Oryctolagus cuniculus: one gene and its partners. The protein of the gene in region 2 binds, or shares a complex with, the protein of the main gene of each other region. Links are inferred from orthologs where the notes say so. Each region holds a gene or a part of one and is shown on either strand. Other genes may lie near its edges. The genes, in order: NELFB, NELFCD and NELFA.

Evidence for each region.
Region 1: the proteins of NELFCD (region 2) and NELFB are in contact, whole or in part, in a crystal structure (PDB 8JJ6), measured with the Homo sapiens proteins. The link is inferred for Oryctolagus cuniculus from reciprocal best matches to the Homo sapiens genes NELFCD and NELFB. Residues at the interface, in XP_047296144.1 of Homo sapiens: Arg63, Ile66, Met67, Glu68, Pro69, Ile71, Phe72, Leu75, Ile89, Gln90, Leu92, Ser93, Tyr96, Thr97, Ala98, Val99, Ala100, Gln101, Thr102, Val103, Asn104, Leu105, Leu106, Trp109, Leu110, Gln112, Thr113, Gly114, Val115, Gln121; in NP_056271.3 of Homo sapiens: Met49, Leu53, Leu56, Val58, Ala59, Asn60, Gly61, Leu64, Lys65, Leu68, Thr69, Leu75, Ile78, Glu79, Phe81, Gln82, Glu84, Asn85, Gly86, Val87, Leu88, Leu89, Ser91, Leu92, Ser94, Ala95, Leu96, Pro97, Phe98, Leu99.
Region 3: the proteins of NELFCD (region 2) and NELFA are in contact, whole or in part, in a crystal structure (PDB 5L3X), measured with the Homo sapiens proteins. The link is inferred for Oryctolagus cuniculus from reciprocal best matches to the Homo sapiens genes NELFCD and NELFA. Residues at the interface, in XP_047296144.1 of Homo sapiens: Cys204, Gln205, Gln206, Leu207, Glu208, Phe210, Ser211, Leu214, Arg215, Leu218, Ala219, Ile221, Leu222, Asp223, Gly225, Glu226, Cys241, His242, Gly243, Glu244, His245, Thr246, Tyr247, Leu248, Phe249, Ala252, Met253, Ser255, Val256, Leu257; in NP_005654.4 of Homo sapiens: Leu23, Trp24, Ala25, Leu54, Leu58, Leu61, His62, Arg65, Pro88, Trp89, Met92, Val93, Ile96, Leu97, Phe100, Gly104, Ser105, Leu106, Leu108, Leu110, Asn116, Val117, Asp119, Ile120, Leu121, Glu123, Leu124, Arg125, Lys127, Val128.

What each region holds. Positions count from the first base shown.
Region 1 is NC_091432.1:237,522,880-237,528,323, reverse strand, and holds the start of NELFB (negative elongation factor B), read right to left. Parts: upstream 3,155-5,444; 5' UTR 2,884-3,154; coding exon 2,782-2,883; intron 2,700-2,781; coding exon 2,536-2,699; intron 1,811-2,535; coding exon 1,711-1,810; intron 1,481-1,710; coding exon 1,250-1,480; intron 709-1,249; coding exon 523-708; intron 1-522. Other genes in the region: protein STPG3, read right to left, coding at 3,662-3,795, 3,886-4,162, 4,248-4,336, 4,437-4,571, 4,672-4,811. UniProt on the Homo sapiens protein: Essential component of the NELF complex, a complex that negatively regulates the elongation of transcription by RNA polymerase II.
Region 2 is NC_091442.1:3,319,572-3,325,152, forward strand, and holds the start of NELFCD (negative elongation factor C/D), read right to left. Parts: upstream 3,556-5,581; 5' UTR 3,496-3,555; coding exon 3,409-3,495; intron 1-3,408. UniProt on the Homo sapiens protein: Essential component of the NELF complex, a complex that negatively regulates the elongation of transcription by RNA polymerase II.
Region 3 is NC_091433.1:830,405-835,721, forward strand, and holds the start of NELFA (negative elongation factor A), read right to left. Parts: upstream 3,759-5,317; 5' UTR 3,664-3,758; coding exon 3,454-3,663; intron 1-3,453. UniProt on the Homo sapiens protein: Essential component of the NELF complex, a complex that negatively regulates the elongation of transcription by RNA polymerase II.

The DNA of each region.
Region 1 (5,444 bases), on a different chromosome or scaffold from region 2:
GGCCAGACCCTCCCGCCCCCACCCGGCACAGCCACGGAACAAGGGCCAGAGCCGGAGCAGGGCACAGGCAGACGGACACGGGCCAGGGCCAGGGCCAGCAGGCAGCAGAGGCACAGGCTGCCCGTCTGTGCGTCAGCTACACAGGTTCACAGAGGAAACACACAGAGGCCCGCCCCCAGCGTCCCCAGGGCACCACTGTGAGGACAGAAGGCTCCTGAGAGCCTCCATGGTGTCCCCTGTCTGGAGGGGGCGTGGCCACAGCAGTGACAAGTGGCCACAGGTGACCCAAGACCCAGGGAGCAGTCTTCAGCTGCAACAGCCACGGAAAACGAGGGAGAGGAGGGTCCAGCTCGGAGCCCCGCGCCAGGTGCCCCGCGTCACCAGCAGCAGGCCCCTGGGCTCGGGGGGGGCAGGGCCAGCACCACCGGGCTGCAGGGACAGGGGACAGCTGGGCCTGGGCGCGGCGGGGCTGCTTCCTCCACCCTACCAGGGACAGAGCTCGAGGTGGGCGTGGAGGCCGACCTTGTGGCAGGGGTCCACGGTGCAGATGTCGCCGACGTCCAGGTCGTGCAGGGACATGAGCAGCTCGGCGCGCAGGGTGCAGTAGTGCACGTTGCGCGTGCGCAGGAAGAGCGTGCGCAGGAACTGCAGCACCATGTCGTACAGCTTCACGCTGCGGCCCACCATGCGCGTCAGCGCCTGCACCACCTGCAGCACACAGCGTCAGCGCCGCCAGCCCCGGGCCGGCTCCCAGCCAGCGCCACCCGGGCCTGGCTCCGGCCACCGCCAACCCCGGGCCGGCTCCCAGCCACCGCCAACCCCGGGCCGGCTCCCAGCCAGCGCCAACCCCGGGCCGGCTCCGGCCACCGCCAACCCCGGGCCGGCTCCCAGCCACCGCCAACCCCGGGCCGGCTCCCAGCCACCGCCAACCCCGGGCCGGCTCCCAGCCAGCGCCAACCCCGGGCCGGCTCCCAGCCAGCGCCAACCCCGGGCCGGCTCCCAGCCAGCGCCAACCCCGGGCCGGCTCCGGCCACCGCCAACCCCGGGCCGGCTCCCAGCCAGCGCCAACCCCGGGCCGGCTCCCAGCCAGCGCCAACCCCGGGCCGGCTCCCAGCCAGCGCCAACCCCGGGCCGGCTCCGGCCACCGCCAACCCCGGGCCGGCTCCCAGCCAGCGCCACCCGGGCCGCGCCCGCACACCTCGCCCACGCGCCGCGCAGGCCCGGCAGCCTCCCGCCCCCGCCCGCACACCTCGCCCTGGCGCCGCGTCTTGGGCGACGGGCTGAAGAAGTTGTGCAGCACCGACAGCCCGGTGCTGAAGAGCGCGCTCTCCTTCTCCAGGATGTACTGCTTGAGCAGTGGCGACACCTCGTCCCCGAACAGCGCCTGGTTGTCCTGCCAGATCTGCCGCTTCACCTCCACGGCGCACGCGCGGTACAGCTCCTTGTCGGCCATCACCAGCTTCAGCTTCTTCTCCGGCACCTGCGCGCGAGGGGGGGGGGGCGTCAGCGGCGGGGCGGCCGCGCGCGCCCCCGGCCCCCGCCCCCCGCCCCCCTGCCCCGGCCGCCCCGCCGCTGACGCCCCCGCCCCGCCCCCGCCCCCGCCCCCGGCCGCGCGCGCCCCCGGCCCCGCCCCCGCGCGCCCCTGGCCGACCCCGCCCCCGGCCGCGCGCCCCCGCCCCCGGCCCCGGCCCGCCCCGGCCGCCCGCGCACCTTGGGCAGGTGCTTCATGACGCACATCACCACCGGCTGCAGCGACGGCATCTTCACCAGCGAGAAGCTCTTCTCCAAAAGGTCCTCCAGCTTCTTGTACCTGCGGCGGCGCGCGCTGAGCCCCCCCGCGGGGCGGGGCGGACACCGCACAAGCTGCGGGGCGACCGCCCTGGGCCGGCCCCCGGCCCGCGCCCCCCGCCCCCGCGCCTGCAGCCTCCCCGGCCCCTGCCCCACTGCCTGCCTGCAGCCCCCGGCCCCCGCCCGCGCCCACGGCCACGCGCCTGCAGCCTCCCCGGCCCCTGCCCCACTGCCTGCCTGCAGCCCCCGGCCCCCCGCCCGCGCCCCCGGCCCACGCGCCTGCAGCCACCCCAGCCCCTGCCCCACTACCTGCCTGCAGCCCCCGGCCCACGCGCCTGCAGCCACCCCAGCCCCTGCCCCACTGCCTGCCTGCAGCCCCCGGCCCACGCGCCTGCAGCCTCCCGGGCCCCTGCCACCCACTGCCTTCCTGCAGCCCCCGGCTCACGCGCCTGCAGCCACCCCAGCCCCTGCCCCACTACCTTCCTGCAGCCCCCGGCCCACGCGCCTGCAGCCTCCCGGGCCCCTGCCACCCACTGCCTTCCTGCAGCCCCCCGCCCACGCGCCTGCAGCCTCCCGGGCCCCTGCCACCCACTGCCTTCCTGCAGCCCCCCGCCCACGCGCCTGCAGCCTGGGGAGCCCCTGCCCCACTACCTGCCTGCGGCCCCCAGCCCGCGCCCCCGGCCCACGCGCCTGCAGCCTCCCCAGCCCCTGCCCCACTGCCTGCCTGCAGCCCGCGCCCGCGCCCACCTCTCCTCCGCCTTCCCCTCCGACGCGATGGCCGACACCCGCTCCAGCAGCTTGTCCCGCAGCTCGTCGAACACCGACTGGTGGAACTCCAGGCGCGGGGTCCCGTGCAGGTCCAGGAACGGGAGCGCCGACTGCAGCGAGGGCAGCAGCACGCCGTTCTCCGTCTGCGGGGCCGGGGGTCAGCGCGGGGGCCCGAGGCGGGGGTCCGCCCGCCGCCCCGGCCCCCGCCCGCGTGCCCGGCCGCACCTGGAACTGCTCGATGGCCTTGAGCGGCTCGGTGCAGTTGGTCAGCGTCTCCTTCAGGTCCTCGCCGTTGGCCACGCCCAGGTCCTGCAGCCCCGCGAACATGGCCGAGGCCCCGACCCCCGGCCGGCTCGGCGCCCCATCCCCGCCGCGCTCCGCCGGGGCCGCCGCGGGCGCCCCGGAAGCCCGCTCCCCGGGGCCTCGGGGGCCGCCCGAGCTGCGCTCCCCCGCGGCCTCCAGCTCGCCCAGGTCCCGCTCGCGGCGCGACTCTGCACCGGCCCGCGGCCGCCCACTTCCGCCCCGCACGGCCCTGGTCCGCCACCCAAAGCGCTCCCGGGAAACGCCGCCGCGGCCGCGCACGGGTTCCTGGGAGCGCCGCCCTCGGCCTGCGCGGGGGGCGGAGCCGGAGGACGCGCGAGCCGTGGGCGCGGCCCCGGCCCCGCCCACCGCACGCGGCCCCGCCCCTGCCCGGCCTCGCCCGCCGCACGCGGCCCCGCCCCGGCGCCCGGCCCCGCCCCCTCCGCGCTTCGCGTTCCGGGAGCTGGCGTTGGAGCGCCTTTCACTGCGGTGCTGCTGACCTCCCCGCAGCCTTGCCTACGCGAGCGTGCGTGGTCGAGGAGGGTGCGCGCTGCGTGCGTGCCTCCCACGGGGCGGGGCGGAGACCCGCGCGCGCTGCGGGAGCGACCCGCCGTGGTTGTCCGCGGCGGCCGGCCCACGCACCTGCAGCCACCCCAGCCCCTGCCACGCACTGCCTGCCTGCTGCCCCTCCTCCCGCACGCCCCGCGTCCCCGCCGCGCGCCGGGAGGGGCACAAGGCACAGCGCGGAGCCGGGGAACAGTACGTCTGTAATGGGGGCGCGGGCTGCCCTCGGCCACGCGGGGCCCTAGAGCGCGCAGAAGGGGCCGGTGTCGTGGCGCTTGGGTCTCCGCACGCCCTGGATGAGCGCGCCGGGCGCCGAGCGGAAGCGCGAGTCGCGAGCCCGCTCCGTGCGGTAGGCGCCGGGGCCGGGGACGCCGGCTGCGGAGAGAGGGCAAGGAGGCGCCCCGCGGACCTCAGCGCTGCGCCGCCCGGGCCCGCCGCCCAGCCCCGCCGCGCCCCGCGCCTTACCCGGGCCGGCCCGCGAGGCGGGGGCGCGCGCGCTGCGCATGGAGAAGGCGGGGGCGCGCGGGCTGCGCAGACGGTCCCCGGGGACGACGTCGTAGGTGCCGGGGTCCGGGCGCTTCTCGCCGCGAGCCCGCGCCAGAGCCTGCACCAGCGGCTGCGCCCGCGGCGGCGCGGGGCGGGCCTGGCCCTCGGGGGCCATGGCGGCGGGAAGGGGGACCCTGGCGCTGCAGGAGCGGGCGGCGGGGCCGCTGAGCGGCCGGTAGTGCGCGGGCGACGGCCACTGCGGGAGGCGGAACGCGGCTGAGGCGTGCTCCGCGCTCACGCCGCCCAGCCCCCGCGTCCCGCACCCCGCGGGCCGGCCGCACCTTGAGCTCGCGGTTGAAGTCCACCTTGTGCGTGAAGGGGCTTTCGCTCCGCAGCCACTCGGTCTGCCAGGCCCTGCGGCCGCCGCCCTCTGCGGGGGAGGGGGGCAGGGGAAGGGGCGGAGGTGGCATAGCCTGGGGTCTCCGGGCCGGGCGGGGCGGGGCGGGGCGGGGCTGGCGGCGGGGATGCACCTGGGCCGGGGTGCCTGCGTCCCAGGCTGTAGTGCGGGTGTGCGGAGCTCTCTCGCGCGGACGCGCTGGGCACCTGGTACTTGGCGGGGCCGGGCACCTCCGGGTCGGTGAGCAGCGGGGGGCGTCGCTCCAGCACTGGCCGAAGGAAGCAGCTCGGGACTGGGGCTGCCCACCAGACCCCTCCTCCCCTCGCCCCCCGATCGCCTGCGGGAGCCGAGACCCCCGCTGCACTCACACAGCTTCCTCAGGGTGGCCGCACAGGCAGTGTCCACCCCTGAGCCCAGGGCAGCCGGGACTGCCTGCTTCTGCGAGGGCCACGCCTCCTCCCAGGCCGCCCCGGGCCGCGGGCCCAGCCACAGCACCGCTGACTGGGACCTGCAAGGGAGACGGGCAGCCGCTGGCCACCCGGCCTGCCGGCGACCCTCCCAGGCCGCCCCGCCTGCCGCCCGCGGAGGTTACTGGGGCGGCCGCGGCAGCTTCTGGCTCAGGGGGCCGTGGGTCCAGTGTTTGCCTCCATTGATGTAAAAATTTGCCAGGAATTTCACCGCCTTCTGGTCAAAATTCATCTCCCAGTCTCTGGCTCCCTTGGGGGAGGGCACTGTGACCTCACTGGCGGGTGGCTCCACCCCCACCCCGTTGCCAGGGGCTCCCTAGGGACGCAGCATTGTCCAGCTCTGCAGGCGCCAACCCAGGGACACACACACCCCGCGCGCGCGCGCCCCCACCCTGGCGCCCTGTGGCCCCTCCCCCTTCCTGCACGGTGGCCCCTGCCCCTCCCCTGCACCCGGAGCTGAAGGGAAGGGAGCCAGCGGCCCCTGCAGCAGGGCTCCTGGGGGCGTGTGGAGGGGAGACGCCCACCCCAGCCACAGCCGTCGGAACAGCAGCAGTGGGGTGGCCCTGGAGCCACAGGCGCCCAGCGGAGTGTGTCACGGACGGACAGGGTGGTCCTGCAGAGGAGGACGGGGAAGCCGGACAGAGCAAGGGCCCTGCGGGGCATCCCTGGAGCAG
Region 2 (5,581 bases):
CCCCCTACCTGGACCTGGGCTAACTCACACCCACGCCCCCCTACCTGGAGCTGAGCCAACTCACACCCACGTCCCCCTACCTGGAGCTGAGCTAACTCACACCCACGCCCCCCTACCTGGGCCTGAGCTAACTCACACCCATGCCCCCCTACCTGGACCTGGGCTAACTCACACCCACACCCCCCTACCTGGACCTTAGCTAACTCACACCCACGCCCCCCTACCTGGACCTGAGCGAACTTACACCCACGCCCCCCTACCTGGACCTGGGCTAACTCACACCCACGCCCCCCTACCTGGAGCTGAGCCAACTCACACCCACGCCCCCCTACCTGGACCTGGGCCAACTCACACCCACGCCCCCCTACCTGGAGCTGAGTCAACTCACACCCACGTCCCCCTACCTGGAGCTGAGCTAACTCACACCCACGCCCCCCTACCTGGGCCTGAGCTAACTCACACCCACGCCCCCCTACCTGGACCTGGGCTAACTCACACCCACGCCCCCCTACCTGGACCTGGGCCAACTCACACCCACGCCCCCCCTACCTGGACCTGGGCCACCTCACACCCACGCCCCCCCTACCTGGACCTGGGCCACCTCACACCCACGCCCCCCTACCTGGACCTGGGCCAACTCACACCCACGCCCCCCTACCTGGACCTGGGCCAACTCACACCCACGCCCCCCTACCTGGACCTGGGCTAACTCACACCCACGCCCCCCTACCTGGACCTGAGCGAACTCATACCCACGCCCCCCTACCTGGACCTGGGCTAACTCACACCCACGCCCCCCTACCTGGACCTGAGCTAACTCACACCCACGCCCCCCTACCTGGACCTGGGCTAACTCACACCCACGCCCCCCTACCTGGACCTGGGCCAACTCACACCCACGCCCCCCTACCTGGACCTGGGCCAACTCACACCCACGTCCCCCTACCTGGAGCTGAGCTAACTCACACCCACGCCCCCCTACCTGGAGCTGAGCTAACTCACACCCACGCCCCCCTACCTGGACCTGGGCTAACTCACACCCACGCCCCCCTACCTGGACCTGGGCTAACTCACACCCACGCCCCCCTACCTGGACCTGGGCCAACTCACACCCACGCCCCCCTACCTGGACCTGGGCCAACTCACACCCACGTCCCCCTACCTGGAGCTGAGCTAACTCACACCCATGCCCCCCTACCTGGAGCTGAGTCAACTCACACCCACACCCCCCTACCTGGAGCTGAGCCAACTCACACCCACGCCCCCCTACCTGGACCTGGGCTAACTCACACCCACGCCCCGCTACCTGGCCCTCTGAGCCGTCAGCAGTGTGACGGAGTGACGATGGAGACAAGGGACAGGGTTTGGATCCCACTCCTTCCTTCCCCAGCTGTGTGACCCTGCACAGGTCCCGAGGCCATGACCTCTCACCTCTGCATTTGTAAGGTGAGATCTGGGGCGTGCGGGAGGACGATGCATCAAAGCCCCCAGCCCCTGCTCTCCATGAGCTCCCTCTGACCCAACCTGCTCCACTCCAAGCCCCAGACGCTGTGGAGGAACACAACGTCCGACCCGCTCTCGTCACTCCCGGTCCGGAACGCCGGGATGAGCCCCACTGGACAGGGCTCTGTAAAGCCCTCCAGGACCCGCCCCGCAGCCCTCACCACCACCGCTCCGCCACGGCCAGCCAAGCACCAAGGGACTTCGGGCCGAGTTCTCCCTGCCTCTTCCCACTCAGCGCTGGGCCGCTGCTTGCCACCACCCTGCTGTCCCAGAAGTAAACCCACTTCATCCCCTCCAAGCACCAGTTCTGCAGATCCCACGCACACAGCGGCTCCACAAAGTCTGCAGCAAACGGAACGCCAGGGTTAGGTTTCTTTTGGTGCGAGCCGTTCTGGAAATTCATGTACTCGAGGTCTTCAGAAAGTTAGAGGGGCCAGGGTGTGGCACGGCAGGCTAGGCCGGCCTCCCACGCTGAGGGCAGGCGAAGGCCAGCTGCTCTGCTTCTACAGAACGTCAGCCCCAAGCTAGCGCCTGGGAGGCAGCAGGTGACGGCCCAAACACTGGGCCCTTGCTACCATGTGGGGGACCTGCACAGACAGCCTGCCTCCTGGCTTCGTTGTAGTTGTCTGGGGAGTGAACCAGCGGATGGAAGACCCCTCTCCCTCTGTGTGTGTCACTGGTCTTTCAAATAAATAATCTTTTTTTTAAGATTTATTTATTTATTTGAAAGTCTGAGTTACAGAGAGAGAGAGAGAGAGAGAGAGAGAGGTCTTCCATCCGCTGGTTCACTCCCCAGATGGCCACAATGGCCGAAGCTGTGACGATTCGAAGCCAAAGTCCAGGAGCTTCTTCGGGGTCTCCCATTTAGGGCAGGGGCCCAGGACGCGGGCATCCTCCACTGCTTTCCCAGGCCACAGCAGAGAGCTGATCAGAAGTGGAGCAGCCGGGACGGCGCCAGCCCAATAATCTTTTTCAGAAACAAAGGCTGTGGCACAGCAGGTTAAGCCAGGGTCTGCAGTGCCGGGTTGGAGTCCCGGCTGCTCCACTTCCGATCCAGCTCCCTGCTAATGCACCTGGGAAAGCAGCGGAAGACGGGCCAGGTGCTTGGGCCCTGCACCCGCCTGGGAGACCTGGTGGAGCTCCTGGCTCCTGGCTTCCGCCTGGCCCAGCTCTGGCCATTGCAGCCATTACAGCCATGTGGGGAGTGAACCAGCGGATGGATCTCTCTCTCTCTCAACTCCGACTCTCAAATAAGCAGATTCCTAAAAAAAAAAAAAAAGGCTCTTGACAAGCATTATGGAAAGCTGTTGGGTGACCCCACATTTATTTCTGCAGCACAATAAACTGATCTTGGAACTCCATCTTCCACGAACGCGCGTCCAGCAGGCCTGGGAGGGGTCTGAGGCCCCCGCCGGGGAGGGGGCGGCCGCCCTCGCACCCCGGCCCCGGGCGGGCAAGGCCAGAGTCCTCTCGGTCAGCCCGAAGAGCCGACGCGGGGCTGGGTCGCGGATCACCGACACACAGGACGGAAAGCCCCAGTCCCGCCTTGGACTCGTGACGCTGGCCGGCGGTCCGCAGCTTTATTTCTGATAAAAACGCGAGCCTCCGGGCCCGACCCCCGCACGTCGGCGTTTCGGGGCCGCCAGCCCCGGAGCCCGCCCGGCCCCGCGCGCCCCCCACGGCAGGAAGCCGCGGCGCCGGGCCGGCCCCGGGTCCCCCACCCGGCGTCCAGCGAGCGAGGGGCGGAGGCCCGCGGCCGGCGGCGGGGCGGGCGGGGCCGGTGGCGACGCGCGCGGCTCGGACACCGCGGCCGCGCGGCCGGGCGCGCGCACTCCCCGCACGCGCGGGCGCGGCGGCGGCGCAGACGCACGACCCTCGTCGGGGGCGCCCGGGGCCCCGCCTCACCTGGCCGCCGTCCGCCTCGTCGCCCCACTCGGCAGCACTCCCGAAGTAGTCCTCGTCCATGATGGCGCCCGGCCCGGCCCCCGCCATGCTCTCCCGCGAGCCAGCGCGGCGCCGGCGCCTGCGCGCACGCGCGGCCCCGGCCCCGCCCCCGCGGCCGCGCGCCTGGGCCCGGGCGGGGGCGGGGCCTCGGCGGGGGCGGGGCCTGGCCGGCGTGCGCGCCCGGGGCCGAGCGGCCGCCGGGGGTCGGTCCAGGAACCCTGCCTGGACCGGGCCTGGAGGCCTTGACTGCGGCTGGAAGTTTCCAGCTGGCCCCTGGGCTCCGCCTCAGCTCGCGGTCCCGGGAGCACCCGTTTCCTCGTCGGGCAGCTGGGCCCCAAAGTGAATTACTCTAATCGTTGGCTAAGAGTCCTCAAATGCAATTGATGTGACGACCGCTTGTCCACTCCCCAGGTGCTGATGACAGCCGGGGCTGGGCCCAGGCGGCGGGAGCTGGAGCTCCATCCAGGCCTCCCAGTGCTGGAGCGGTGACCGCTGCCTCCGGGGGTCTTCCCTGGCGGGAAGCCGGGGTCAGCACCGGGAGCCGGCTCACCGTGCTGATCCGAAGGCAGGAGCCAGGTGCTTCTCCTGGTCTCCCCTGGGGTGCAGGGCCCAAGCACTTGGGCCATCCTCCACTGCACTCCCGGGCCACAGCAGAGAGCTGGCCTGGAAGAGGGGCAACCAGGACAGAATCCGGCGCCCCGACCGGGACTAGAACCGGGTGTGCCAGTGCCACAGGCGGAGGATTAGCCTAGTGAGCCGCGGCGCCAGCCAACCCATTTTCCATAGTTAGGAGACGTCGCAGAAGGCTGAGGAGGTGGGACTGCAGGTGGGCTGAGAAGGGGCTGGGGGCTGCTGTGGATTTGGGGTACAGCAGCCGGGGTGGGGAGCAAGGCGCAGGGCAGGGAAGATGCTGTTGCTACTCACCCTCGTGCCTCGGGGCGGCTGCCGTGGAGACGGGGGGTGGGGCAGCTTCTGGAAGGGATGAGAACAAGTTCCCACTGGGATGTGCTGGACCAGGGGTGCCAGCAGAGTGCTCCATGGCGAGGTCTTGCAGGCTGTTGGAGGTGGGAAGCGGCAGGTCCATATTCGGTGCATCTGGTGCCCATATGGGATGCCAGCACTGCAGGCGGCGGCTTTACCTGCTGCACTGGGGCGCCAGCCCTGGCTCTGTAGTTCTTGCCTCTTAGATCTTGATATCCTGATGTCCTGTTTTTGTTTTTGTTGTTTTTTTTTTTTAAGATTTATTTATTTATTTGAAAGAGTTACATGGCAGGGGGAGGTTCCATCTGCTGACACCACCACCCCCAGTTGGGTGCAAAGGCAGGAGCCAGGAGCTTCTCCTGGGACTCCCATGTGGGTGCAGGGCCCAAGGACTTGGGCCATCTTCTACTGCTTTCCCAGGCCACAGCAGAGAGCTGGATCAGAAGTGGAGCAGCCAGGACATGAACTGGTGCCCATATGGGATGCGGGCACTGCAGGCCGTGGTTCCCCCCCATAGCCCCGGCCCCACAAAGACACATTTAACATTAAGTACAGAAATAAGGGAGAACAAAATAAAAAACAAGTAGCAAGATGACAGCATGAACCCAGCCAGGAATTCCATTGAATGTGAACAGACTCTCAAAGGGCAGAGAGCGCCAGGCTGGGTGAAAAAGCAGCAATATGCTGTCTGTAACAGACACATCAGCGACGCAGAGGCACAAGTACATTGAAAGCAGAAGAGAACAGATGGCCATGCACGTAGCAACCCTGAGAGCCGGAGCTTCCACAGTCGTCTTAGACCAAACAGAGCCGAAGACTTGGAGACCTCGGAATGGCAAAGGTTGGGTACACAAGTTAGGCATAATTAAGAATGTGTATTCTGGCCAGCGCCGAGGCTCACCAGGCTAATCCTCCGCCTGCGGCGCCGGCACCCTGAGTTCTAGTCCCGGTCGGGCGCCGGATTCTGTCCCAGTTGCTCCTCTTCCTCAGTTCTGAGGCTGAGCCCTGCTCCCCTGGTCTGAGGCCACAGGAGGCACCTATGGCTGTGAACTACACCTCCCGACTTGGGGGCAGCCGGGGCAGAGGTGACACAGAGACAGCAGAGATGTGGGGAGCCCAGAGCAGGTGGCCCCGTCTGCTTGTGTGTTTTAAA
Region 3 (5,317 bases), on a different chromosome or scaffold from region 2:
CATGGCGTCCACGGGTACCGCCGCGTCTCATCTCCTGTCCACACTCCAGGATCCCAAGCCCCCTGGGAAAAACCCCACGGCCAGCTCCGCTCCGCCTGATTCCAGCACGGCTGTGCGGGCTGAGGAGGGAGGGCGCCGCCCGGGACCGTGGGGCGCGCACGGTCTGCGCTGCCACTCCGTGTTCTGCGCCCTCGGCCAGCCTCCTGCCTGCAGAGCCTGCGGGCGGCCCGACTCCTGCATTCAGCCCAGAACCGCCTCTCCGTGCCTGTGTCCTGAATGAGAATCAGCCCGAGTCGCCACTCGTGAACCGGGGGTCCTGGGGGCTTACCGCAGAGCACCTCGGAGCTCCCCGTCCCTCCACGGTGAGACTGAAGCCCTGTCCCGAGGGCCCGCCTGCCCACGCGCAGCAGGTCAGCGCCAGCTCACTTCAGTACCCAAACGCTGGCGCCCCAGTGTTCTCCCGCGTGGGCTCTCCACGAGCTGCCGGATCCCTCAGATCGCCCCGACCCACAACACCGGCAGATGGGCCAGCGCCACTGCACCCCAGAACCACCTTCGCAGTCACCTCCCGCCGCGACAGAAAACGCGTGGCCGGCGCACGGACAAGGACAGCCAGGGCCCACCTGAGCCCGGGCGCTGACCTCCCAGACTCCTCGGGGGCGCAGCGGCGGAGGCCGGGACTGGCTCAGCGCGCACGGGCCACCCCGGCACACAGCTGACGACCAGGACTGCGGGGTCTCCAGGTCTGCTTGTCACACACGCCACCGAAAAAGGACCACTTCCATCACACTCACAACAAGCAAAGAACCGAGGGAAAACAGACCTGAAAAGCCAACTCACAAAAAAAACCGGCAACTAACGCTGCGGCGCAGTGGGATAAAGCCGCCGCCCGCAGGCACCCCATGCGGGCGCCGGTCCTGTCCCGCCTGCCCCTCTTCCAGGCCAGCCCTCTGCTGTGGCCCGGGAGTGCAGTGGAGGATGGCCCAGGTGCTTGGGCCCTGCACCCCATGGGAGACCAGGAGAAGCACCTGGCTCCTGGCTCCTGCCATCGGATCAGCGCGGTGCGCCGGCCGCGGCGGCCATCTGGGGAGTGAACCAGCGGATGAAGACCGCGCTCGCTCGCTCGCTCGCTCTCTGTACTCTTTCAAATATAGAAAATAAATCTTAAAAAAAAAAGGACCAAACAGCAAGCAAAAAGATGCTCACTCCTGAGTGACACGGCCGCCCCACGCCACAGCCACCCCTGACGTGCCACTGTCCGTGAAGCCACTGAGTGCCACGGCACCCCACGTCACAGCCGCTCCCGAGTGTCACGGCCACTCCACGTGGCCTGGCGGCACCTCCACACTCCAGGACATGGCCCAGCGACCCGGCACCCACCACTGCCACACGCACCGCACTGCGGGAACCGGGCCGGGGCGGGGGATGCGGCGGGGAGCAGCGGGACACGGGACACGGGGCGCCGCCCCCATCTGTGCACGCACAGGCAGGTGCTGCCGGGGTCCCGCGGGAAACAGGGCCGCCCCGCAGACCCACGAGCCCACATCGCCCGTGAAGACCCCCGCCCGCCCCCCCCCACAGACCCGAGCACAGGCCCACGAGCCCACACCACCCGTGAAGACCCCCGCCCGCTCCCCCCCCGCAGACCCGAGCGCAGGCCCACGAGCCCACACCGCCCGTGAAGACCCCCGCCCGCCCCCCCCCCGCAGACCCGAGCGCAGGCCCACGAGCCCACACCGCCCGTGAAGACCCCCGCCCGCCCTCCCCCGCAGACCCGAGCGCAGGCCCACGAGCCCACACCACCCGTGAAGACCCCCGCCCCCTCACCTTGGTGGAGGGAGGCGTGAGGGGGGTGTCAGGAGGGGCCACTCGCTGGGAAGATGGGGGTGCAGTCAGGAGCGGGGTAGGGGGAGACGCGAGGCTATGCGGGTGGGGGGAAGACCTGAGGGACCAGGAGAGGGGGGACGTGAGGGGGGGGGTATGTGAGGCGGGGGTATGTGAGAGGGGGACGTGAGGCGGGGGGGTATGTGAGGCGGGGGGCTGTGAGGGGGGACGTGAGGGGGGGATGAGGGGGTATGTGAGGGGGGTATGTGAGGGGGGTATGTGAGTGGGGACGTGAGGGGGGATGTGAGGGGGGCATGTGAGGGGGGGTATGTGAGGCGGGAGGCTGTGAGGGGGGTATGTGAGGGGGGCTGTGAGGGGGGCTGTGAGGGGGGTATGTGAGGGGGGACTGTGAGGGGGGACGTGAGGGGGACGTGAGGGGGGTATGTGAGGGGGTATGTGAGGGGGTATGTGAGGGGGGCTGTGAGGGGGGACGTGAGGCGGGGGGCTGTGAGGCGGGAGGCTGTGAGGGGGGTATGTGAGGGGGGTATGTGAGGGGGGACATGAGGGGGGCTGTGAGGGGGGCATGTGAGGGGGGTACGTGAGGGGGGACGTGAGGGGGGCATGTGAGGGGGGTACGTGAGGGGGGACGTGAGGGGGGCTGTGAGGGGGGTATGTGAGGGGGGTACGTGAGGGGGGACGTGAGGGGGTATGTGAGGGGGGCTGTGAGGGGGGATGTGAGGGGGGTATGTGAGGGGGGTATGTGAGGGGGGTATGTGAGGGGGGTATGTGAGTGGGGACGTGAGGGGGGTATGTGAGGGGGGATGTGAGGGGGGCATGTGAGGGGGGGTATGTGAGGCGGGAGGCTGTGAGGGGGGTATGTGAGGGGGGCATGTGAGGGGGGCTGTGAGGGGGGTATGTGAGGGGGGACTGTGAGGGGGGACGTGAGGGGGGTATGTGAGGGGGTATGTGAGGGGGGTATGTGAGTGGGGACGTGAGGGGGGCATGTGAGGGGGGATGTGAGGGGGGCTGTGAGGGGGTATGTGAGGGGGGCTGTGAGGGGGGACGTGAGGCGGGGGGCTGTGAGGGGGGACGTGAGGGGGGGATGAGGGGGTATGTGAGGGGGGCATGTGAGGGGGGCTGTGAGGGGGGACGTGAGGGGGGCTGTGAGGGGGGACGTGAGGGGGGTATGTGAGGGGGGTATGTGAGTGGGGACGTGAGAGGGGCATGTGAGGGGGGATGTGAGGGGGGTATGTGAGGGGGGTATGTGAGTGGGGACGTGAGGGGGGCATGTGAGGGGGGATGTGAGGGGGGCTGTGAGGGGGGAATGTGAGGGGGTATGTGAGGGGGTATGTGAGGGGGGCTGTGAGGGGGGACGTGAGGCGGGGGGCTGTGAGGGGGGACGTGAGGGGGGACGTGAGGGGGGTATGTGAGGGGGGACGTGAGGGGGACGTGAGGGGGGCTGTGGGGGGGACGTGAGGGGCGTTTGTCCGCAGCGCCGGGGGTGGGGAACCGAGGGCGGGGGTGGGGGAGGGCAGGCGCGAGGGCCGGGGCGGTACGAGGCGCGGGTCTGTCGGGAGGGCAGACGGCGGGCGTCGGGGCACGGCCGGGGCCGGCGCGCCGCCCGCTCACCTCGTCCACGGTGCGGCGCGGGAGGTGCAGGGTCCCGAGCAGCAGCTTGAGCTTCACGGCCGACGAGAGGCCGTGGAAGCACAGGCGGATGTTGTCGATGACGGCGGCCGTGAGCAGCGACGCGATGCTGGGCGGCGCCCACAGCTCATCCGTGGCCCCCAGCTTGTTGTGCAGCCACAGGCCCGTGTCGCTCTCCCGCATGGACGCCATCTTGGGGGAGCCCGCGCCGCCGCGCCGGCATCTTACGCAGACACCTGCGCGCCCCTGGCGAGGACCCCCAACATGGCGGCGCCCGTGGGCTCGCGCGATGACGTCAGGGGGCGGGGCCTCGAGCGAGGCACAGGCGGGCGGCCGCGGCGCAGACCTGACGTTTCCGTACCGCAGCATGGCGCCGGCCTCAGCACGGCGGCGGGAGATGACGTAGCAGCGGGCGCCGAGGAGCCGCCGTGGAATGCTCATTGCCGAGAGCGTTGCGACACGCACGGCGGCTGGTGGGAGGCGACAGCAGCTCTTGTCTGCAGCCGGCCCTTCGCTTTCTCCTCCCAGAGTGCCCGTGTGGTCCTCGCGGCCCCAGCTCGGAGCTGACCGCCGCCGCCCTGCCCCGCGCGTTTCCCCCCCCAGAGGGGAGAGAGGCCCGCCGTGTCCCCCCCCCAGAGGGGAGAGAGGCCCGCCGTGTCCCCCCCCAGAGGGGAGAGAGGCCCGCGCATGTCCCCCCAGAGGAAAGAGAGGCCCGCCGTGTCCCCCCCCCAGAGGGGAGAGAGGCCCGCCGTGTCCCCCCCCAGAGGGGAGAGAGGCCCGCCGTGTCCCCCCAGAGGGGAGAGAGGCCCGCCGTGTCCCCCCAGAGGGGAGAGAGGCCCGCGCGTGTCCCCCCCCCCAGAGGGGAGAGAGGCCCGCCGTGTCCCCCCAGAGGGGAGAGAGGCCCGCCGTGACCCCCCAGAGGGGAGAGAGGCCCGCGCGTGTCCCCCCAGAGGGGAGAGAGGCCCGCGCGTGTCCCCCCCCCCAGAGGGGAGAGAGGCCCGCCGTGTCCCCCCCCCCCCGAGGGGAGAGAGGCCCGCCGTGTCCCCCCCAGAGGGGAGAGAGGCCCGCCGTGTCCCCCCAGAGGGGAGAGAGGCCCCGAGTCCTCTGGGGCGGTTTGGGGAGACCGGGACTTGGCCTCGGCTCGCAGGGGCCGTCCGGAGGCTGCAGGAGGTTCTGGGCCCTCGGGCACCTGAGCGCCCACTGGCCCACTGACTCGTAGGAGGCACCTGTTGGACCCTGAGGCCTTTTATGAGTTGGTGGTTAAATGCAGACATCACTGAAGATCCCTTCATTTGATCACAGATCCTTAGGGGGAAGGTTTCACGTATTTGAGAGGCAGAGCTGGGGGTGGGGGAGACGGTCCATCCCCGGTCGCTGCCCGAATGGCTGCACGGCCAGGGCTGGGCCAGGCCGAAGCCGGGAGCGTCTTCCGGTCTCCCACGTGGGCGCACTGCCCGAGCCCTTGGGTCCTCCGCTGCCCTCCGGGGCGCTGGGTCGGCCGTGGAGCAGGTGGGGCTGGAACCGGCGCGTGTGACGGTGTCACGGCGGAATCGCGACCGTCCCACGGTAGATGTGGGAGTTCACAGGGGACGAGGTCGGAGCCTGTTACGGAGAAATGGCAGGGTTCCTGTCTTCGCGCAAGAAAGAATTCAGGTGTGAGACAGAGAGTAGTGGGAAGGAAATAGCAAGGTTTATTAGGGCAGGGACATCTGTAAGGACGGATGGGCACCTCTCCAGACAGGACCTGAGAGAGTGCACAATCGCTCGGACTGGGGGAGAGCGAGGTTACATGGCTGAGTGGAGGGATTCTACCTGGGCAGGCAGGCGGGCGGCTCAGCAGAGAGGC